Rattus norvegicus: one gene and its partners. The main gene of each other region encodes a partner of the protein of the gene in region 3 in a complex. Links are inferred from orthologs where the notes say so. Each region holds a gene or a part of one and is shown on either strand. Other genes may lie near its edges. The genes, in order: Dusp6, Ptpn7, Mapk1 and Dhps. A codon is read from its position in the direction of its gene.

Evidence for each region.
Region 1: the proteins of Mapk1 (region 3) and Dusp6 are in contact, whole or in part, in a crystal structure (PDB 2FYS), measured with the Rattus norvegicus proteins. Residues at the interface, in NP_446294.1 of Rattus norvegicus: Glu79, Glu107, Thr108, Leu113, Gln117, Leu119, Asp122, His123, Tyr126, Phe127, Gln130, Thr157, Thr158, Cys159, Asp160, Tyr314, Asp316, Asp319; in NP_446335.1 of Rattus norvegicus: Arg64 (codon at 2,300), Arg65 (codon at 2,297), Leu66 (codon at 2,294), Gln67 (codon at 2,291), Lys68 (codon at 2,288), Gly69 (codon at 2,285), Asn70 (codon at 2,282), Leu71 (codon at 2,279), Pro72 (codon at 2,276), Val73 (codon at 2,273), Arg74 (codon at 2,270).
Region 2: the proteins of Mapk1 (region 3) and Ptpn7 are in contact, whole or in part, in a crystal structure (PDB 3D42), measured with the Homo sapiens proteins. The link is inferred for Rattus norvegicus from reciprocal best matches to the Homo sapiens genes MAPK1 and PTPN7. Residues at the interface, in NP_002736.3 of Homo sapiens: Thr185, Glu186, Tyr187, Val188; in NP_001351807.1 of Homo sapiens: Arg124, Tyr125, Lys126, Ile128, Asp257, His258, Ser292, Ala293, Gly294, Ile295, Gly296, Arg297, Gln335.
Region 4: the proteins of Mapk1 (region 3) and Dhps are in contact, whole or in part, in a cryo-EM structure (PDB 8PVU), measured with the Homo sapiens proteins. The link is inferred for Rattus norvegicus from reciprocal best matches to the Homo sapiens genes MAPK1 and DHPS. Residues at the interface, in NP_002736.3 of Homo sapiens: Tyr113, Tyr187, Ala189, Thr190, Arg191, Trp192, Arg225, Lys231, His232, Tyr233, Leu234, His239, Lys259; in NP_001921.1 of Homo sapiens: Arg159, Glu160, Asn161, Asn164, Asn173, Glu174, Tyr176, Cys177, Glu180, Asp181, Met184, Asp188, Asp243, Phe247, Tyr250.

The regions. Positions count from the first base shown.
Region 1 is NC_086025.1:35,977,863-35,982,525, reverse strand, and holds the start of Dusp6 (dual specificity protein phosphatase 6), read right to left. Parts: upstream 2,923-4,663; 5' UTR 2,490-2,922; coding exon 2,090-2,489; intron 1,621-2,089; coding exon 1,183-1,620; intron 176-1,182; coding exon 1-175. UniProt on the Homo sapiens protein: Dual specificity protein phosphatase, which mediates dephosphorylation and inactivation of MAP kinases. Has a specificity for the ERK family. Plays an important role in alleviating chronic postoperative pain.
Region 2 is NC_086031.1:49,126,140-49,130,215, reverse strand, and holds part of Ptpn7 (tyrosine-protein phosphatase non-receptor type 7), read right to left. Parts: intron 3,094-4,076; coding exon 3,017-3,093; intron 1,824-3,016; coding exon 1,686-1,823; intron 1,386-1,685; coding exon 1,275-1,385; intron 1-1,274. UniProt on the Homo sapiens protein: Protein phosphatase that acts preferentially on tyrosine-phosphorylated MAPK1. Plays a role in the regulation of T and B-lymphocyte development and signal transduction.
Region 3 is NC_086029.1:97,524,767-97,529,376, forward strand, and holds the start of Mapk1 (mitogen-activated protein kinase 1), read right to left. Parts: upstream 3,060-4,610; 5' UTR 2,846-3,059; coding exon 2,733-2,845; intron 1-2,732. UniProt on the Homo sapiens protein: Serine/threonine kinase which acts as an essential component of the MAP kinase signal transduction pathway. MAPK1/ERK2 and MAPK3/ERK1 are the 2 MAPKs which play an important role in the MAPK/ERK cascade.
Region 4 is NC_086037.1:39,988,416-39,993,067, forward strand, and holds the start of Dhps (deoxyhypusine synthase), read right to left. Parts: upstream 3,004-4,652; 5' UTR 2,930-3,003; coding exon 2,723-2,929; intron 2,322-2,722; coding exon 2,157-2,321; intron 1,478-2,156; coding exon 1,356-1,477; intron 1,274-1,355; coding exon 1,177-1,273; intron 1,096-1,176; coding exon 1,009-1,095; intron 528-1,008; coding exon 422-527; intron 345-421; coding exon 241-344; intron 1-240. UniProt on the Homo sapiens protein: Catalyzes the NAD-dependent oxidative cleavage of spermidine and the subsequent transfer of the butylamine moiety of spermidine to the epsilon-amino group of a critical lysine residue of the eIF-5A precursor protein to form the intermediate deoxyhypusine residue.

The DNA of each region.
Region 1 (4,663 bases), on a different chromosome or scaffold from region 3:
CCCATGAAGTTGAAGTTGGGAGAGATGTTGGACTTCTTCATTTTGACAATGTCATAAGCATCGTTCATGGACAAGTTGAGCTTCTGCATAAGGTAAGCCACTGTCACCGTGACGGAGCGGCTGATGCCCGCCAAGCAATGCACCAGGACACCACAGTTTTTGCCTCGGGCTTCATCTGTGAACACAAAAAAGAAAGGCAAGGTTTCACTAGACTGAAAAAGCAGTCTTTGCTGCAAATGCTCAGCCCTAAGTCTGAATTAAGAAGGGATAGTAAAACAAAACAAAACAATTGTGTGTGGCAGTTCAGCCCCTAAGGCAGCAGAAAATGTATAAATGAGAAATGAACATGCACACTGAACACAATCGCATATTTTAGATATTTCCTGTAAAGGGGGCTTTTGTATTAAGTTTCTAACAACAAAAAACTCCTTAATGTGTGCATTCTTTTTTGCCTCAGCTTGTGAATACCAGAAACCCTGCATTACGGCCCTGAATGCCTCTCATACAGACAAGCAGACAGCAAGGGTCTATTAAATTATTCTCCAACTGTTGTGCTGCTAACAATGGGGGTATTCAGGCATTTTAAGAGAGAGAGGGAAGTCACAGGGGACAGCCCATTAGGAGGAACAGGATGTCTACACGGCCTGAAAATGAGTTCCTTTGTAATAGGAAATGCACTACAATGCCTGGAGATTCGCTTCTCTTAGTCCCAGCCCACGGTTCTTCCTGCTGGGATCAGGTTACCCAGAGGCACAGTAACCAGTACACTGCAGTATCATTCAGCTAGGTAACGTCTAGTATTCAAACTGCTTTCCAACAACTAACTTGGGTGTCCTAAAAATAACTCCTGGGTCTTCTTTTTAAATCATAAAGCAACACTAGGATTGTCAGCAAGTGAGTGCTAATTTGCTCTCCACTCACTCCCTGTCTAGAGACAAGGAAAATGTGGCTGATTGGAACAGCCCCCTTTTAAAAGTACTGAATTAAACGGTTCAAATAGTCCCCTGATCTGCTAATGTCAACAAGCCCTGTTTCCCCTTCAGCCAGAAGGCAAACCAGAATTAACACTCTTGGAACAGTAGAGACCTGCAGTCTCTCCACCCCCAACCCCCACTCCCCAAATAGCTTGCAGGAAAACAGATTAACATCTTCAACTCATGAATGACTGAAAATTAGTCTCACCTATGAAAGAAATGGCCTCAGGGAAAAACTGGGACAGGTTTTGGCTCCAGTGATCAGAGATAGGAATTTGCTTGTACTTGAACTCCCCTGCATTCTCAAACAGATTGGGCAGATTGGGGGTGACGTTCAAGATGTACTTGATGCCAAACTCTTCCAACACGTCCAAGTTAGTAGAGTCCTTGGCACAGCCCAGGTAAAGGAAGGGCAAAATCTCCACCGGGAAGGAAGGCTGGCTGTTGGACAGCGGGCTGCCATCGGAGTCCGTTGCACTATTGGGGTCTCGGTCAAGGTCAGACTCAATGTCCGAGGAAGAGTCGGAGCTGATCCTCAGGCCCCCGAGTCCCAGCACTGGCAAGGGCGGGGAGCTGCTGCTGCACGAGCCGTCTAGATTGGTCTCGCAGTGCAGGGCGAACTCGGCCTGGAACTTACTGAAGCCACCTGCCAGAAACAAGAAAAGCGTTCTTGTAACCTGAGAAGCTGTAGTAATTTTCAGCTTGTGAGAGGCACAGGAGGTGCAGGAGACACTACGGTCAGGCGACCTATGAACCCCACTGCAGTAGTAAAAACACACTTCAATGTGCATCTTTAAGAATACAACCATCTGCCTACCCAGGGAGCGTTTATTCTTCTGATTCCGGAAATGCACAAAATTACTTAGTATTTCGAGGAGCTAGGAGGTGTCAAGCTGCACCCTGAACTACATTTCCAGCTCTTCTGAATCTTAAGTCTAAACCAACCCAGAAGAAAGCGAGAGGAAGGTGGAGGTGCCGGATTATAAAGAACCCTTAAAAAAGAAGCTACCACGCTGGCCCAGCTCCCTTAAGCGCAATGCGAGAGGCGATCGCTACCTCGCCCGCAGTTCCCCAGCCTGCAGCCCTAGCTCCGAGCGCCGGGGCGCACAACATACCTTCAAGGTAGAACGCCCGGCAGCCCTCGTCTTTGAGTTTCTTGAGCAGCAGCCCGAGGACCGACTCTCCACCTGTGTTCTCATTCCAGTCGCTGCTGTTCTCGTCGTAGAGCACCACGGTGTCGGTGCCGCAGCGCCTGGTAAAGCGGTCCCGGTCCTCGCAGCGCGTGAATAGCGCGCGCACCGGCAGGTTGCCCTTCTGCAGACGCCGCAGCATGATGCCCGGGATGGCCACGTTGATGGCAGATTCGATGTGCGACGACTCGTACAGCTCCTGCGGTCGGCAGTCCATCAGCAGCAGCTGTTCGTTGCCCAGCTCCAGCTGCTCGTTGAGCCACGCCACCGTCTTGCTGATCGCCATTTCCGACGCGAAGGGCACGGGTCTGAGCGTATCTATCATGGGGGTCGAGCTGCAGGAGAAGGCGGGGTGCCTAGCAGACGCCCCTCGAGGCAGGCATAGGCCAAGCACGCCGTGAGAAGCTCCGGCTCTCGGAGCCGGGTTTGATTCGGCCTTTCCCAAGCCGAAGCTAGCGGTTAGGGAAGGCGACAGAAGCCAAGCCGGTGGTCCCTCTGCACCAGATCACTCTCAGAGTCAATGAATCTCTCTGAATGAAAGTGCCCAGTTTTGTTCCTACCCAGTGAATGAAATCCAATTAATTCGGACTCCGTGCCACTGAGAGGAGAAAAAGGAAAAAAGAAAAAAGTCTAGCAGCTCCTAATCCCTCTGAGGCTGCACCTCAGATCCAACCCCGTGTTTCTCGCCGGATTATTCAAGACTGGGTTTGCTCGCAGTCCCTAGGACTCCGCGAGAGCACACCCCCTGTGCCAGGCAGCTCCTCAATGGATACAAACAGCCAGCGTCTCAATGGATACATTCTCTCGGCCAGCCAATGAGCGCGCTGCGGAAGGGGCTGTTGCCGTGGGGACGGGCCGGCTGGAACAGGTTGTGTTGATGAATTGTTAATGAGTTTGTCATTCACAAAAACGGAAAGGAATTTCCGCTCCGGATAAGCCCCAGTGCAAACAAGCTGCAACTGCGGGCTCGGCGGGAGGAAGGAGAAAGAAGAGGAGGCGGCGGTGGAGGAGGAGCAGGGCACATAAACCAGGGCACTAAAGTTGTCTCGTGTTTCCTTCTGTTGAGAGTTCACACTTCGCGTCTAACTCTTGCGCACCAGTAGTGCAATTAGCAAGCACAAAAGCCCTTATTCGCTACTCTTACTATCTCAAGTTAGCCTTAATAAAACGTGAGGGTCCCCCACCCCTTTTTTTATTCCCTTTAACGCTAGATCCTAGCCCGCTCCTTCTCCCTCACCACCACCCCGGTCCTCCTTTAGATCGTGTGTGGCATTTGTTTGGCTCTTTTAAAAGTCTAGTTCTGTTTGTTCTGAAGTCCTTTTAGCCGAGGCTGTGTTGGGGCTGGTGAACTGCCTGGGCTTTAGCGACCCAACGAAGTGTTAAATGCTAATCCAACATCTCTAGAAACAAACTAGTGTTTTGTTGAAACATTTTAAAGCAGCTAAGCAAACAAGCGTTTGGTTGTCCAGAAAACCAGAAGCACCCCAATCCCGAGTTTTCTCAACTTTCGGGGGGGGGGGCGAGCAGGAAAAACCTTGTCAGCTAGCCCTACACTTTTCTTATGCTCCGGTGGGGTGGAGGCATTCTGAGCCATTGCTCCGGAGATCTTGCTCCCCACCCCCACCGGTCACCCATCGAGCCTGGAGAGACGAGCTCCTTTAACGATTTGGGGTCAGAAGCAGAGTTTGGCTTCTAAGAGGAACCGGTCTGGCAAGGCAGCCTAGGTTAGGCGCCTGGGACACCGGGCCTCACCAACGCTCCCTGCAACCCGGAGACGTGGGGGGAGTCCTCCGCAAGACCTTTAAGCCTGAGGGAACTGGCTACTGTGGGCAGCGAGGCCAGTCCCCTAACCTTTCTCGGCTGCAGCGGTTCCCGAGCTCCGCATGGAGCACTCTAGCAACTCCAAACGCGCTTGCGCGCTGCGCTTTGGCCGCAGCACCGCTGCTCTGGGGAGGGGGAGGGGGAGGACACGCGGCGACCCCGTGATCGAATGTAAGGCCGTCACGGAACTGTCCCCTAGGGAGAGACCTAGAGTCGGAAAGAAGCCAGAGATGTCCCTGTCTGGACCCCTTGGTTTCCGAGTTAGGATTTGGGAGTCTCATGGGCACCACACGCAGGCAATTTAGGACGGAGGCGGCGCGGCACCGGAGCCGGATGGAGGCGTGGCCGGCGGGGGCCGCGACGGCGACGAGAGCGCATCCCCGGCGCGCACAGCTCTATTGTTATATAAAAGTGCCGAGTCCGCCCCTCCCGGACGGAAAACCACCTGTGTGCGGCGACGGCGGGCCCTGCGGAAGGCGCGCGTCCCGATCCGGTCTGCCCTTCGGGTCCCACGGAAAGGAGCCCGGCTTTGTCCGGCCGCGACCGGGAGGAGGAAGCGCTGGCTGCGGCCCTTCCCGAATCCGGGGCGCGGAGGGCGTCTAAGGTCACGGGATCTCCCCAGCCCAGAGCCTCGCAGCTCGGTCCTACCTACTGTCGCCCGCAAAGCAATTTGCATTT
Region 2 (4,076 bases), on a different chromosome or scaffold from region 3:
CCGATCGGCACAGAGCAGGCAGGGGTGATTCTCCTGGCTACTTTGCTGTTCGGCTTCACCTAGGCTCAAGTCTTGGCGTGCCTCTATCTATCTATCTCGGGACTGTGGATAAGTGCATTAATCTCCTTTTCTTCCCCAGGAAGTGGGCACAGTGATATCTTTTTGTCTGCCTCCCAGGATGCTTGAGGAACAGCAAACTGATAAAGAAATCATTTGGAAGTATAAGAATGTGCACCTTAACAGATAACCCTTCCTCCTTCCTCATGTCCTCTCTTCCTCCTCTCTAGATAGGAATCTTGCTATGTTGTTCCAGTCAGTTCCCTTCTCCCATCACGTGGGTTCCGGGATCGAACTCAGGTCATCAGACTTGGCAGCAAGAGTCTTTATCCACTGAGCCCTCTCTGTCCCCTCAAAAGCATTTTTAAAGTACATCCCCGTGTACTGGCACATCTCTTTGACCTCTCCTTACCATTCCAGCATTCTCCTGGGTCTCTCTAGTCTCCTGGGGCCTAGATATCTAGCATGGGGAGAACATGCTTCCAATGGTCCCTATTTTGTTAGCTGGTGCATCCCTATTTAATTAGAGGTGTCCCTGAGGGTTGTACCTTTCTCTCTCATTCTCATTCTTGTTCTCTCTCACTCTCATTCTTTTTTTTTTTTTTTTTTTTTTGGTTCTTTTTTTCGGAGCTGGGGACTGAACCCAGGGCCTTGCGCTTCCTAGGTAAGCGCTCTACCACTGAGCTAAATCCCCAGCCCCTCTCACTCTCATTCTTGTTCTCTCTCCCACTCCCCCCCCCTCATCCCCCACCCCCTCTAGTTTCTTTTTAGTTTTTCAGAGACAAGGTTTCTCTGTGTATCCCTAGCTGTCCTGGGACTCACTCTGTAGACCAGGCAGTCCTCAAGCTCAGGGATCCACCTGTCTTCTGCCTCGAAAGTGCTGGGATTAAAGGCGTGTACCACCATGCCCAGTTTTTTTTTCTTTTTTCTTCATTCTCTCTCTCTCTCTCTCTCTCTCTCCCTTTTTCCTTTTTTTCGGATCTGGGGACCGAACCCAGGGTCTTGCACTTGCTAGGCAAACGCTCTACCACTGAGCTAAATCCCCAACCTATTCTCTCTCTCTCTTTAAAACGTAACATCATTTAAATGTGAGATCAAGGTTTAAATTAGTAAACTTGGTGAATTTAGTAAATTTAGGAAAGGTGGAGCCTGCCTTTCAGAGATGCTAGGGTGGCCCAGACCTCCCATTGGTCTGTCCCAGTGTCTGTGGGAGATACCTGAATGGTGAGGTGCCTCACAGTATATTCTGGGTGCTCTTTCATGCCCTGGATGCGGATCTGGAAGGGCCCATAGGCTTCCTCTTCTGTGGGCCAGTAGTGTACACATTTCTAGAAGGGAGGGAGCTGGGAGTCAGAGTGGGAGGGCCCATCAGTGGCGCAGGGCTGGGGCAGCAGAGAGGCCTAGTATCCTGTCCTCATATCTTAGCCCATGACCCAGGTCAGTGACCAGAGCCTAGCTCTCCCAAGCCTCAATTGGATAGTCACCCCGCCCACAGCTTCCATGGGGTATGTTCCTGAAAGGTACAGCATAGGGCCTGTCAGGGCTGCCATTGAGGCCTCTTGTCTGCTGAGTGCGGGTGCTGTGGCAGGGTAGGGTAGAGACCCTTTCCAGATGACCCTACCTCTTACCTCCTTGCCCTCTCGGAGCTGGGTGAGCATGACAATGAGGGATACATCTTCCTGCCACACCATCTCCCAGAAGTCTGCTACAGTGTTGGGCATGGGGCCCTGGGTAGCAATGTAGACCTTCTCCTTTCCATCATAGCCCTGGGGAGCCAAGGCACAGGAGGACAAAGATGCTGTGAGTCCACAGGGGCTGGGGTCAGGCTAAAGCCAGTGAGTGTAAACACTTACATACACTCATCTACAGACACACACATCGGAAGCCGCACGCTGGAGGAGGACTTGGGACCCACGATGAGGGAACACCTGAGTTCAAATTCCTGCCCTTCTGTTTCCTAGCTAAGTGGTCAGAGGCACATTCTTGACCCAGTTTCCCTAAGCAGTAGACGGTACCTAGTAATTATATAACACAGTGTCAATTAAAATCAATAAAATATATTGGCAGTCTCTCACACAGCAGGCACCGTGTGCACGTTTGTTCCCATCTTCTGCTGCTTTCTTCTAGGGCAAGATAGGACGGTCCTCAATATTTGTAAATGAACGTTTCACATTTCACGAATTACTTGCACACATTTGGCACCAGAATCCAGCGTACTCTACCTAATCTGTTCCCCTCCCCCTCCATCCCATCATCCTTTGCTTCCATCATCCTTCTATCATCCATGCATCTCACTGTTTGTCTGGACCCCGCTGGCAAACAGAGGACTGCCTATCTATTATACTTTCTGTCTGACTTTCCTCCTCAGCACCCAGACTACTGTCCTACCACATTTGGCCACAAGGGGGCACTGGTTTTACATCCACCCACCAAACACGGTAAGAAGTTGGGATAGCATGGTCTGCCTTGCTTTGAGGTCGCTATTAACTGGACATCAATCAGTCTCCACAAAGGAGGCAGTATTTGTAGGGGTCGGGTGTGGGGGCAGAGAACGAGTGTGGGAGAGGAGGTAATAGGAGATGGAGAAATTCCCACTTGAGCTGGCTTTGTGCAGCCTGTAGAAGCCATTAGTCTTTAAGAAACCAGTGACTAGGCTCAGTCTTAAGGTCAACTTACTGCCAAGTTTAGAGGGTTGTCAAGAATAGGGTAACAGGGTAGGTTAAGGTGGTTTGGAAATTTTGACATCTTTTCTAGACCGATATCTTGAGGATCGCTCAGTATGTGTCTCTTTTCCCGCTCCCCAAGTCTAGCAGAGAGAGATCTACAGCAGAAAGGGGGGAGTTGGAGCAAGGAAGGAAGTACGGGCCCTGTAGCCCAGTCACAGATGGATCACAGAGGGTCTCGTGTGGTATTTTCGTGTTTAAAGCAGTCCGCCCAGCTGCAGCAGCCAGCCACTCACCCGGATGTAATTGGCATTGATGTAGTCGCTGTCCTCCTGGCTGTGTGCCCGGCCAAGACAGACACGGCTCTGGGGATCTAGGAAGTGAAGATCAATAAAGGTGAAAGGTCAGAAGGCGACCAATGAGTGTAGATTGTAACAGAGTCAGAGGGGGAGCGTGTCCTCACTCTGTAGTCAGTACTTTGTGGACAGCAGATATTCAACCGTATTATTTTACAGACAGGTAACATAATAGCTGTGTGCAATAAAATACACTATGCCATGACAACAGGGAGCCACGATGTTTTTGAGCTGGAAAGTGATGTAATCGAAGTGGAAAGATGGACTAGTGATGTTGGTGTGCAGCAGCATAGAGCTGCAGACACTGACCGGCAGATTATCATGCTTTGGCCTTGAGATCAGCGAGGGTATAAAATAGGACAGAACTGATAGGAAGGGGAAGAGATTCTGCAAAGGAAAAATGTCTTTCTGATTACGAATACAAGCGTTAGATGAATACATTGTCTAAGCTATCGCTCAACCACAAGGGATATTGGCCTGGCTCTCCAAAGGTGTGGGTCCTTCCCCAATCAAACCGGATGGGGGATGAAGAGTCTGGCTCCCCCTCTTTGATGGCTGTAAGAGCTTGCTAGAATTAGGCCAAGGCCAAAGGCTATCAAACTCACATTGACAAGTGCTCACAGAACCTGGTCTATTCCAGCAGGCAGTGAGCCTGGAGTCTCAGCACAGGGTAGGACCCATGTGCTGGGCTGAATTCAGACCACAGTTCTGGAAGCCACTGGACTAGGCTCCAGGTCTCAAGCCTGCCTAGGAAAAGTTGGAGGTGCTAGGCCCGGGTCTGTCTGTGTGAGTTCACACCACACGGGTGTGCAGCCACAGTAAGCTTCTGCAAACGCTATCTTGCAACTGGGCAACAGATGTCTATCTCCGAGGTGCCAGGGTGTGGTATTAGTATTTCTCTGTTGAAAGACAGTGTCTCAAGCATTGTTCTTCCTTGGCTTTGGAGAGGTGGTTTTTAATCAGTGCTTGTTTTGTTTTGTTTTGTCAAGGCTTCCTATAA
Region 3 (4,610 bases):
ATATGTGTGCACACAGAAGAACCCATAAGAGGTCAGAGACATCAAGACTACTTGAAGTTACAAGCTGTTAGGAACTGAATTCTGGTTGTAGCTCTTAACTGCTACACCTCCCACACCCACATTTTATCTTTTTGTCTTCTACATAATGATTATGAAGGGAGCTTGAACAAATAGGCACAATTCTCCACGACCTGCTTTACGGAAATCCTGCTAAGAACGGCTGAAAATCCCTTAAGTAATTTTTTTTTTTTTTTTGGTCTTTTTTTCGGAGCTGGGGACCGAACCCAGGGCCTTGTGCTTCCTAGGCAAGCGCTCTACCACTGAGCTAAATCCCCAACCCCCAAGTAATTTTTTTAAAGAGTTATTCTTAAATCAGTTTCCAGGGTGTGTACCCTAGTGAGTCTTCGTTGGACCACATGTGTGTAGATGCCCTTGGAAGGAGGGGTGCAGTAGGTGGTGGGTGGTAGTGTCACGTAACACAGATGCAGGGATCTGAGCTTAGGTCCTGCAAAAGCAGCAGGTACTCAACCACTATGCCGTCTTTCCAGCTTTTTTTTTTTTTTCTTTTTTTCGGAGCTGGGGACCGAACCCAGGGCCACTGAGCTAAATCCCCAACCCCGTCTTTCCAGCTTTTAAAGATCACTATTCAAGTGGATACTTAAGCTGAGAAGCTGCCATAAACTCAGCAATAATCAGATGATAATGACACACAATTAAGAATATTAAATAAATACTAAGATACATTATCTGGAGATAAGAGGCTGATGCTTGGATTTAAATTTCAATTATATTTGTATTTTTCTTAAAATTAAAATTTGTAGGTGCCAGCCTCATCTACAAATTGAGTTCCAGGATAGCCAGGGTGATTACACAGAGAAACCTTGTCTTAAAAAATTAATTAGTTTTATTTATTTTATGCATATGAATGTCTTGCTTAAATGCATGACTTAAGAGAACATCTCATCTTCTGGAACTATAATTACAGACTAGGCTGTCATTGGAATCGAACCCAGAGCAGCCAGTGCTCTTAACTGCTGAGTCATCTCTCCACCCCTAAAATGTGAATTTTAAAAAGAATTCTGCACAGCAAGCGGAAACTTCAAAGGTCAATAGCAACAGGATCTAAACAATCCATCTTATTAAGGTGGTCCTAAATTTTTTTGTCTCTATTTAAAGTAAGCTTTTTTATTCTTTTTTTTTTTTTAAATAAATGAGACTATGGTGGGTAATCATTTGAGTGTCAATAATAAGAGTTACTGGCATACTTACCAGCAAGTGCAAGGGCAGTAATACATGCAAGACAGATGTGATGTGGAAAGTAATTTTTCCCCATTCCTTTACAAAGACTTTCTTGTAACCGTGACCTAAATTTAATTTCCCCTTTGACTCGCAGGTCCAGTTCACTTTTACCTTCATAATTGTATACTATGAAACATTTTGCTCATAAGAATATAACTATTCTCCGGTCCTTTAAAAAGGAAAGTTAATTATTCTACCTAGTTAACACACTTGGTGAAAACACATCTTTCTTGGCATTTCTAAAATTATGACCATTCAAATTTGAATGCATTTCTGAAATAGACTTGTTCATCAGGAAAATATGCTGAAGTTCTGAAATTATTAATAAATCAAGGAAAGGCGTGTGCAATCATAGCTGAGGAGCTGAAGCATTTAAACCAGGATCTTTCTATATATAGAAAGCATGATTCTAGTTCTTCACCCTTGGGAAAAAGACTTCCTTTCAATACCTTATCTGAAAAAGGGTGTCTTCTCTTTCTTCAAGATGGCTATCCAAGTAAAATTAACTACCTCAGAAACCTTCGATAAATGAACTTGCTTTAATTAAAACAATACACTTCATTCCACAAGCAGAAAGTACTGTAAGTGGTTGTGTATATATAGTGAACACTAAAACGTTAGGGAAACGACCACAGTAAATAGGGCTAATACCTATGGATACATTCACATGTACTTTTGAGGGTAACGACGGGGTAATTTAAAGTCAAATTTGGAGTTAGGCCTAACTCCAAATACATCTTAATAATTCTAAGAGTGATGCTGGTTTATCCTTCCTGAAACACAATCGGTATGATATTTAAATCCATTTTGAAACTTCAAGATTTCAGTATATCCACAACCAACGCTGTGTCATTGTTTTTTAGAAAGCCTGAGGTAGAACGCATCATTAGCTCTACTGAAGATATTTTGTGAATGCTGTTCACGTACACAGAGAGAATAAAAATATTTTGGTGCTCAGCACACAAGCCCATTATTCCGTCTTGCAAAACCATTGCCGCCGCCACCACCACGGACATGCATCTAATGGAATTCCTAGTTTTAATCTAATGTCAAAAGGCGGCGGCTATAACGCTATGAACTAGGGGACATGGTGCACTTCCGTTCCCGACCCAAGGGAGAAGCCTCGAAAGTACGCGCTCGAGACCAAGCCCGGGAGTCTTCGAGTCCTGGCCTCGGTCTGAGATGCCCTTCCAACAGCAAACGAAGGGTCAGCTCAGGAAGCAGCAGAGCAACACTTAAACCTCGAAAGGGCCCCCGGGACCCCGCCCCAGGGCCCCAGGAGTGCGGGCCAAGGAGAAGCCACGGGTCCGGGGGCGCCGCGGACCGCGAGGCCAAGGCGCGGGAAAGGCCGCAGCTGCGTCCAGATCAGCCATAGGCAGGGGGCACAGGATGACCGCGTGAGGCCGGGCCTGCAAACCAGCGCAGACACTTACCAAACCATGCCGTAGGCGCCTTCTCCGATGTACGAGAGATTAGTGTAGCGCGGCCCCACGTCGAACACCTGCCCGCGGACCATCTCCGGGCCCGCCGCCGCCGCCGCCGCCATGTTGGCTGCACAGCCTCCGCCGCGTTGGGCTCGACGCTTCGCGGTTACCGCTCGACTTGTGCTGCGCTTCCCACAGGAACCGCGCCGCCGCCCGTGTAGCAGCCGCTGGCGGCGATCGGGAACGAGGAGGGAGGACAACACAGAAGAGAGAACTAACCGCCGGTAGAACCACTGCCTGCCTTCCTGCCTGACGGGCGGGCGGGCAGCGAGTGGGAGGAGGGAAGGACTCGCGTCGAGGGGCGCTAGGGCGGAGTCAAGGGCGTGCGTGATGATTGGCTTCTCCCCTCAGAGAGGGCGGAGTCTCGCGGGCCGGCGGAAGCAGCGAAGTAAGCCAGGAGCACTGCGGCTGCGGGGGAGGGACGTCACGTGCGTTCAGAAAGCTAAGGGCTGGGTAGCTCTAGAAAGCTAGATTGGAACTTAGGCATAATGACCCCACAGAGTCCCACCACTGTACCTGGTCCAGAACGAACTCGCGCGGGACCAGGGACTTGAGACCAGAGGACTCACTGCACACCAGCCACGGGACCCCTGAGACAGACAGGCCTCTAGGAATACGTGGCCCACATTCTGCACTCTTATGCACTTAGACCGTCAGAGTGGGACAGAAACCAAAAAGATGACCCAGACCCAGAAAAATATTTTCACCCTGTAATGAGAATAATAAATAAAAAAGATGCCTTTTGGACATATAAAAACAGATTAGTCAGGAACCCTACAGTACCTAAGGCTGCTCCTGATACCCAGAGCCCAGTGACATGGAGATGACATAGTCCTAGAATCCCATGATGCCTACTGGACAAAATATAAGCAGAGACCAAAAGCAATGCTTTGCTCTACGTATCTGGAGAGATGCACCTTGATCTGTTCTGTGGCTAGAGAATCTCCCTCAGAATCCTGACCCTCAAATCAGAGACTTCTGTTAGAGATTAGACCTGACCTGAAGCTAAGATAGGTCACACAGGTGAACAGCCTTGGGAAGACAGGCTTAGGAATGTAAGGAGTTTAGAGTGTAAACCTTGCATGATGACCTTCAGCATAATAAAATATAACTTTTCTTATACTAACTACGTATATCTACCTTCTTACTGGTGACGCACACCTAACAGTGTGAGACATAAATAAGTAGAAACCAAAACACAAGACATTGAATCCCCTAATTAGAGGTTTCTTCAAGAAAATTTGCTTAATACCTATAGCATTGGAGCCAGCCATGTTTCCAGAGTGAAAAGACAGGCAAAATACAATATTTGCACTTAAGTGTTGTGAAGAAATAAAAAGCCAAGGGAAAATATAAAGAGCTGTGGGTGGGGACGCTGGAGAAAGACAGTGAAATTCCGGGACTTGGATTCAGGTGCTGTGTAACACTTTCCTGAAGGATTGAAACATTCTATCCGGAGGGGTAACTCCTTAAACAATAAGGTAAAAAACTGAAAGGAGCAAGTCAGTGTGGTGCCTCACATGTACCACTTGTGAGGCAGAGTGGGGCAGATCTCTTAAGAATGGGAGGCCAGCCTGGTCTACAGAATGAGTTCCAGGATAGCCAAGAGTCTCAAAAAAAAAAAAAAAAAAACCAAAAAACAAAAAAAGCAAAAAACAAACAAACAAAAACAAAAACAAAACAAAAAAAAACAATCAAAAAACTCAACGGAGTTTAAGAAGTCCTTGAAACTGACCAGATTCACTAGGCCCCTCTCACCAGAGTAAGCAATAAAAGCTGAGAGTCCCTCTGAAATGGAGCTCAGGTGAGCTGCAAAGACTCTTGAGA
Region 4 (4,652 bases), on a different chromosome or scaffold from region 3:
CCCTGAACTATGAACAAGCCTTCCTCCTGCCTCAGTCTCCCAAGCAGTCACCTTGCCTGACTGACATTACTTAGTCCTCACATGCATGTCACTTATGGCTGTCTGACCTGCCTCACCCCAACATAACTCCAAAGAGGACAGGGACTCTGGCCCATCGAGTGCACTGCTGTAGTGCACATCTAATACCACCATCTCTCAGAGCAGAGGGTGGGGATGGCTGCCAAGAGCCACTCCACTCACCATGAGGTTAGCATTGGCGATGTGGTGCTTGACCACGCCTCCACCCAGGATGATCATCCCAGTGCGCTTGGCGAAAATGGCCTGCATGTTGATGAGCCGCAGGTCTGGGAGAGAGGGCAGAGGTCAGGCCTTGGACTCGGTGGGCTTTTCTCACCCTTCTCCCAGGGCCTTAGCACCTCACCTTCAACGATGTCCAGGACCAAGCCTGGGTTTTTATAGGAATGGAAAAAGATCATGTCACCCAGTGAGCCGTCTGTGAGTGCAGGACTCAGCACAGGTATGTGGTTCTGGTGGAGATAGGACCAGTTAGCAGCTACACCTCATACCCCAGCAAAACTGATGCCCAACCCAGTGGCATCCCTCCCGACCTGAGTAGGCTGCTTGATTTCTCTGGTGCACATGACCCTCTGCTTTGCATGTGGATGCAGACGTGAGGAAAAACCACACATGGCTTGAAGAAGGTACTGGCACACTGAGCAGTGTCTTATTGTCCAGACTCTTGAGCTGCACTGTCCCTGGGCACATGGTACCCTGGGTCAGGCCCCACCGACTTCTAAAGCACTACACCGAGTCCCAGGAGTGTAGGGGCATAGCTAGGAGAACCCTGCAGTCAAGTGACGCCTAGCCTCTCTGTTCGACATTCCTCGTCTAACTCTGGGAAGACCAAGAATGATTACTGAGACTTTTAGGTGGCTACTAAGTCAAACAAGTCATTGCAAGTCAAAGCCTAAGTACTGTCCCCAAGAATACTGTCCCCACCCAACCCACCTTATGGGCCCAATAATACACAGACTCTGGGTTGTTGATCTCCTTCCCAAGCCGGGAGATCATCTTGGAAGGTGTCCACTTCACACCCTAACAAGGGGGAGAATATCAGTATTAGCCCATGTCTTCTGACTCAACTATGCAGGTCCACCTGAGCCCTTCCAGCCCTACCTCTGTATTCTGCTCCTGCACCATCTGGTCTAGGATGGGCATGAGCCAGTCCTCAAACTTGCAATAATTGTCATTTGGCACCAGCAGGTTCCCGATCCTAGAAATGGGATCCATGAGGGCATCAGACACTGGGACCCTCAACGCGGCTTCCCTGCTCCTACCACTACTCAGAGCCTCACCTGTTGATCCCATTCTCCCGGAGCTCCTTCCCCCTGAGGCTGAACTCGCCCAGATATGTGGGTGCCAGGCACTTGATGAGATCTTCTTCCACCCCTCCAGCAGTGGTCACCAGTACATCCACCTGTGGTCACCAGCAACAACACAGACCCTTCTTCAAAGTAGTGCCCCTAACATTGGCCTGAGCTCATCCAGACCCAAAGCATGAGCTCTATGACAAAACCAACTCAAGCCTAAAGCAGACCCAGAAAACGTGGCACACTCTTGTGATCCCAGCACTCAGAAAGGAGGCTGAAGTCTAAGAACTGCCAGTATGGGTCTAGAGAGATGGCTCAGCAGTTAAGAGCACTGACTGCTCTTCCAGAGGTCCTGAGTTCAATTCCCAGCAACCACATGGTGGCTCACAACCATCTGTAATGGGATCTGATGCTCTCTTCTGGTGTACATGAAGACAGTAACAGTGTGCTCATATACAAAGGAAGGAAGGAAGGAAGGAAGGAAGGAAGGAAGGAAGGAAGGAAGGAAGAAACTGCCAGTATGTCTAAAAGCAATACTCCATTTCCTCACACCCTTTAAGATTTATTTTATGTATGTGAATACACTCTCCCTCTCTTCAGACACACAGAAGACCCCATTACAGATGGTTGTGAGTCACCAGGTGGTTGCTGGAAACCAAACCCAAATCTTTCACAGAACAGCAAATACTCTTAATCTCTGAGCCTCTTCATGTTTCTTAAATGAACAATAACCCTTTTGTCTACTGGCCCAGAGAGGCTGGGGCCACTGATCTAACGTGGACCCACCATATTGTGCTGCACGAGGTAGCGAATGGTCTCCCGGATGCCAGAACTGATGAGGTTGGACGTATAGCCCAAGAAAATGGTGCAGCCTGTGAGTGGGCGGCGGCTCTGAGTCAGGTCTTCGTGATGATCTTCATCTACTGCCAGTGGTTCCAGCTTCTTCTCAATCTGGGCATAGGGGCACAGTAAAGTTGCACTAAAACTCCAAACCTCAGTGGAGGAACCCCACATGAATTGGATTCCAGACGTTGATTGCACTCAGGGAGACTACTACAAAACCAAAGCACAACCCCTGTGCAGACCCTAACCCTCCCATTCCAGGTCCTGGTCTGTCACTTGGGGTTTGTTCCCTTTTAAGAACAACACAGTGTCTTCTCTTCAGGACTCCTTCCAGTGGGAAAAGCGAATCCAGGGCTCTCCCAGCGTTAAGCTCCTCCTACAAGCCCGTTTTGATTTTAACCCCAAGCTCCTCCCATCGCGGAACACTAGTTAACCAGGACTCCGCCTCTCCCCGGCACTCACGCGGACGGAGCGGCCCCGCCTCCCACCCGGGTCGCCCGGCGCCTCACCATGGCGTTGACTTGCTGCACCGCGCGCCCGAAGTTGGTGGCCTGGAAGCCGGTGGTGCCGTAGGCTTCCAGAAGCGCGTGGTAATCTACCCCGCGGTTGAAGTCGTAACCTTGGACCTGGGCGCTCTCGGGCGGCAACGCTGAGCTGTGCTTGAGCACAGCGGCCAGCGCCGAGGAGGGCGCCGCCCCCGACGGGGTCCCCTCCATGCGCTCTCGGCCGTTCTCTGGTCACAGCAGTCTCGGTGCCCTGGAACCCGCCAAATCCTTCAGCTTGGTCCGCCGGAGCCCAGGAAATGCGACTCGGGGGCGGGGGAGGGGTACCGGAAGCTACTTGAGTCACATGGCCCTGGCAGCGCCTGCGGGCCTGGTAGCAGCCATTTTATTCCCGTGTTCCGTACATGTGGTCCAGGAGCTGTTTGTTATTCCTTGTAGGCAGATTCAGCTTCAAGTAGATAAAAGTGCCTGATTTGCAAACTGTCTGTCCAAATATTCTTGTCCCCCCATGAGCGAGGTGATTGTTTCTAGGACGGAGCCCTTGGACAAGTTAGTTGCAGACTTTTGTCAAATGGGAGTGTTTTCTTTCGGTGCTTCCTCGAGTCGCTACAAACTTCTTTTCCCCCTACAACCATAGTTCAATTTTCACTGGATCATAGGCCTCTGGGGAGACAGGGATGACCACCATCTTTTTGCCGAAAGAAGTTTGTTGAGAATCTTTTCTCATGCGTCCCCTTTAATGATACACTGAACCTAGGACAGGGGCACCCTCATTCTACAGTTTGTGTAATCTACACTAGAAATAGTGCTCTCTGCTGGGCGCTGCGATTTAGCAATGGACTCTGCCCTCCTGATGACTATAGTCTGATGAACAGGAAACCATTAGGTGGCTAAACCAGCAATCAGGAGGTGGAGGCAAAAGAATCTCGAGTTCCAGGCCAGCCTGAACTATTGAAAGCAAGACCCTTTCTCAACAAAAGGGACGGGCATGGCTAGGGAAATAGCTGTCTGTACAGTCCTTGCTTTGCAAAAAAGCAAGAGTGTGGATTGAATATGTGTGTTTAATTGCCAGAACTCAAGAGGGGTAGGGGGTTGGCAATACCAGTAATAGCTCTGGGTAAGCAGAGACCAGTAGATCCTTGGGGATGGGACCTGAAGAATGGCTCAGTAGCCAAAGGCCCATGATAGAAGAGTCTGGACCTGTTTACATTATTGTCTGACCTCCACAAGCATGCCATGCGTGCACAAGCTCATACACACAGGTTTAGGGACCAGGTGAATGAGAGTGACATCTGAGGTTGTCCTCTGGCCTAGAAAACACACACACTCTGTTAAGTGTGAAGGTGGGTTGGAGGAATTGGTAACCAGAGCTGAGGGAAAAGGTGACTGGAGAAAACTGCCAAACACATGATGTTTTGACTGAGGCCAGAAGACCCAGAAAATTCCTGTTATAAAAATATCAGAGACACTATTTCCCCAAAGATGCACAGATAAAGGTCTCCCCTTCGTTTAACCTCCTCTATAGGCTAGCAGTGCCCAAATGCCACATCTGGCTGCAGGGAGATCTGCAATGGGTAGTATGCAGGAGGGCAAAAGGACTTGAATCCCAAGTGAGAGTCTGATGACACCTACTGCTGTAGGGAACAGGTTCCGTGAAGGTAGCCACACTGCACTGAGTCAGAGAATGATGGCCGATATGCTCAGATAAACCTCAGTCACCATGATTTACAAGCAGAGGAAAGAGCAGCTGGGGACCCAGCAAGAAGTTGACCTCCAGGCCAGTAAGACCATGGCTCAGTGGGTAAAGCCCTTGCTCAGGAGGCCTGGACACCTGAGTTCAATCTCGAAGACTGGCCTGGTAGAACAGTTTCCAGAAAGATGACCTCTGACCCAATTCACATGCAACTCCCCTCCCCTCAACGCACATAAATTTTTT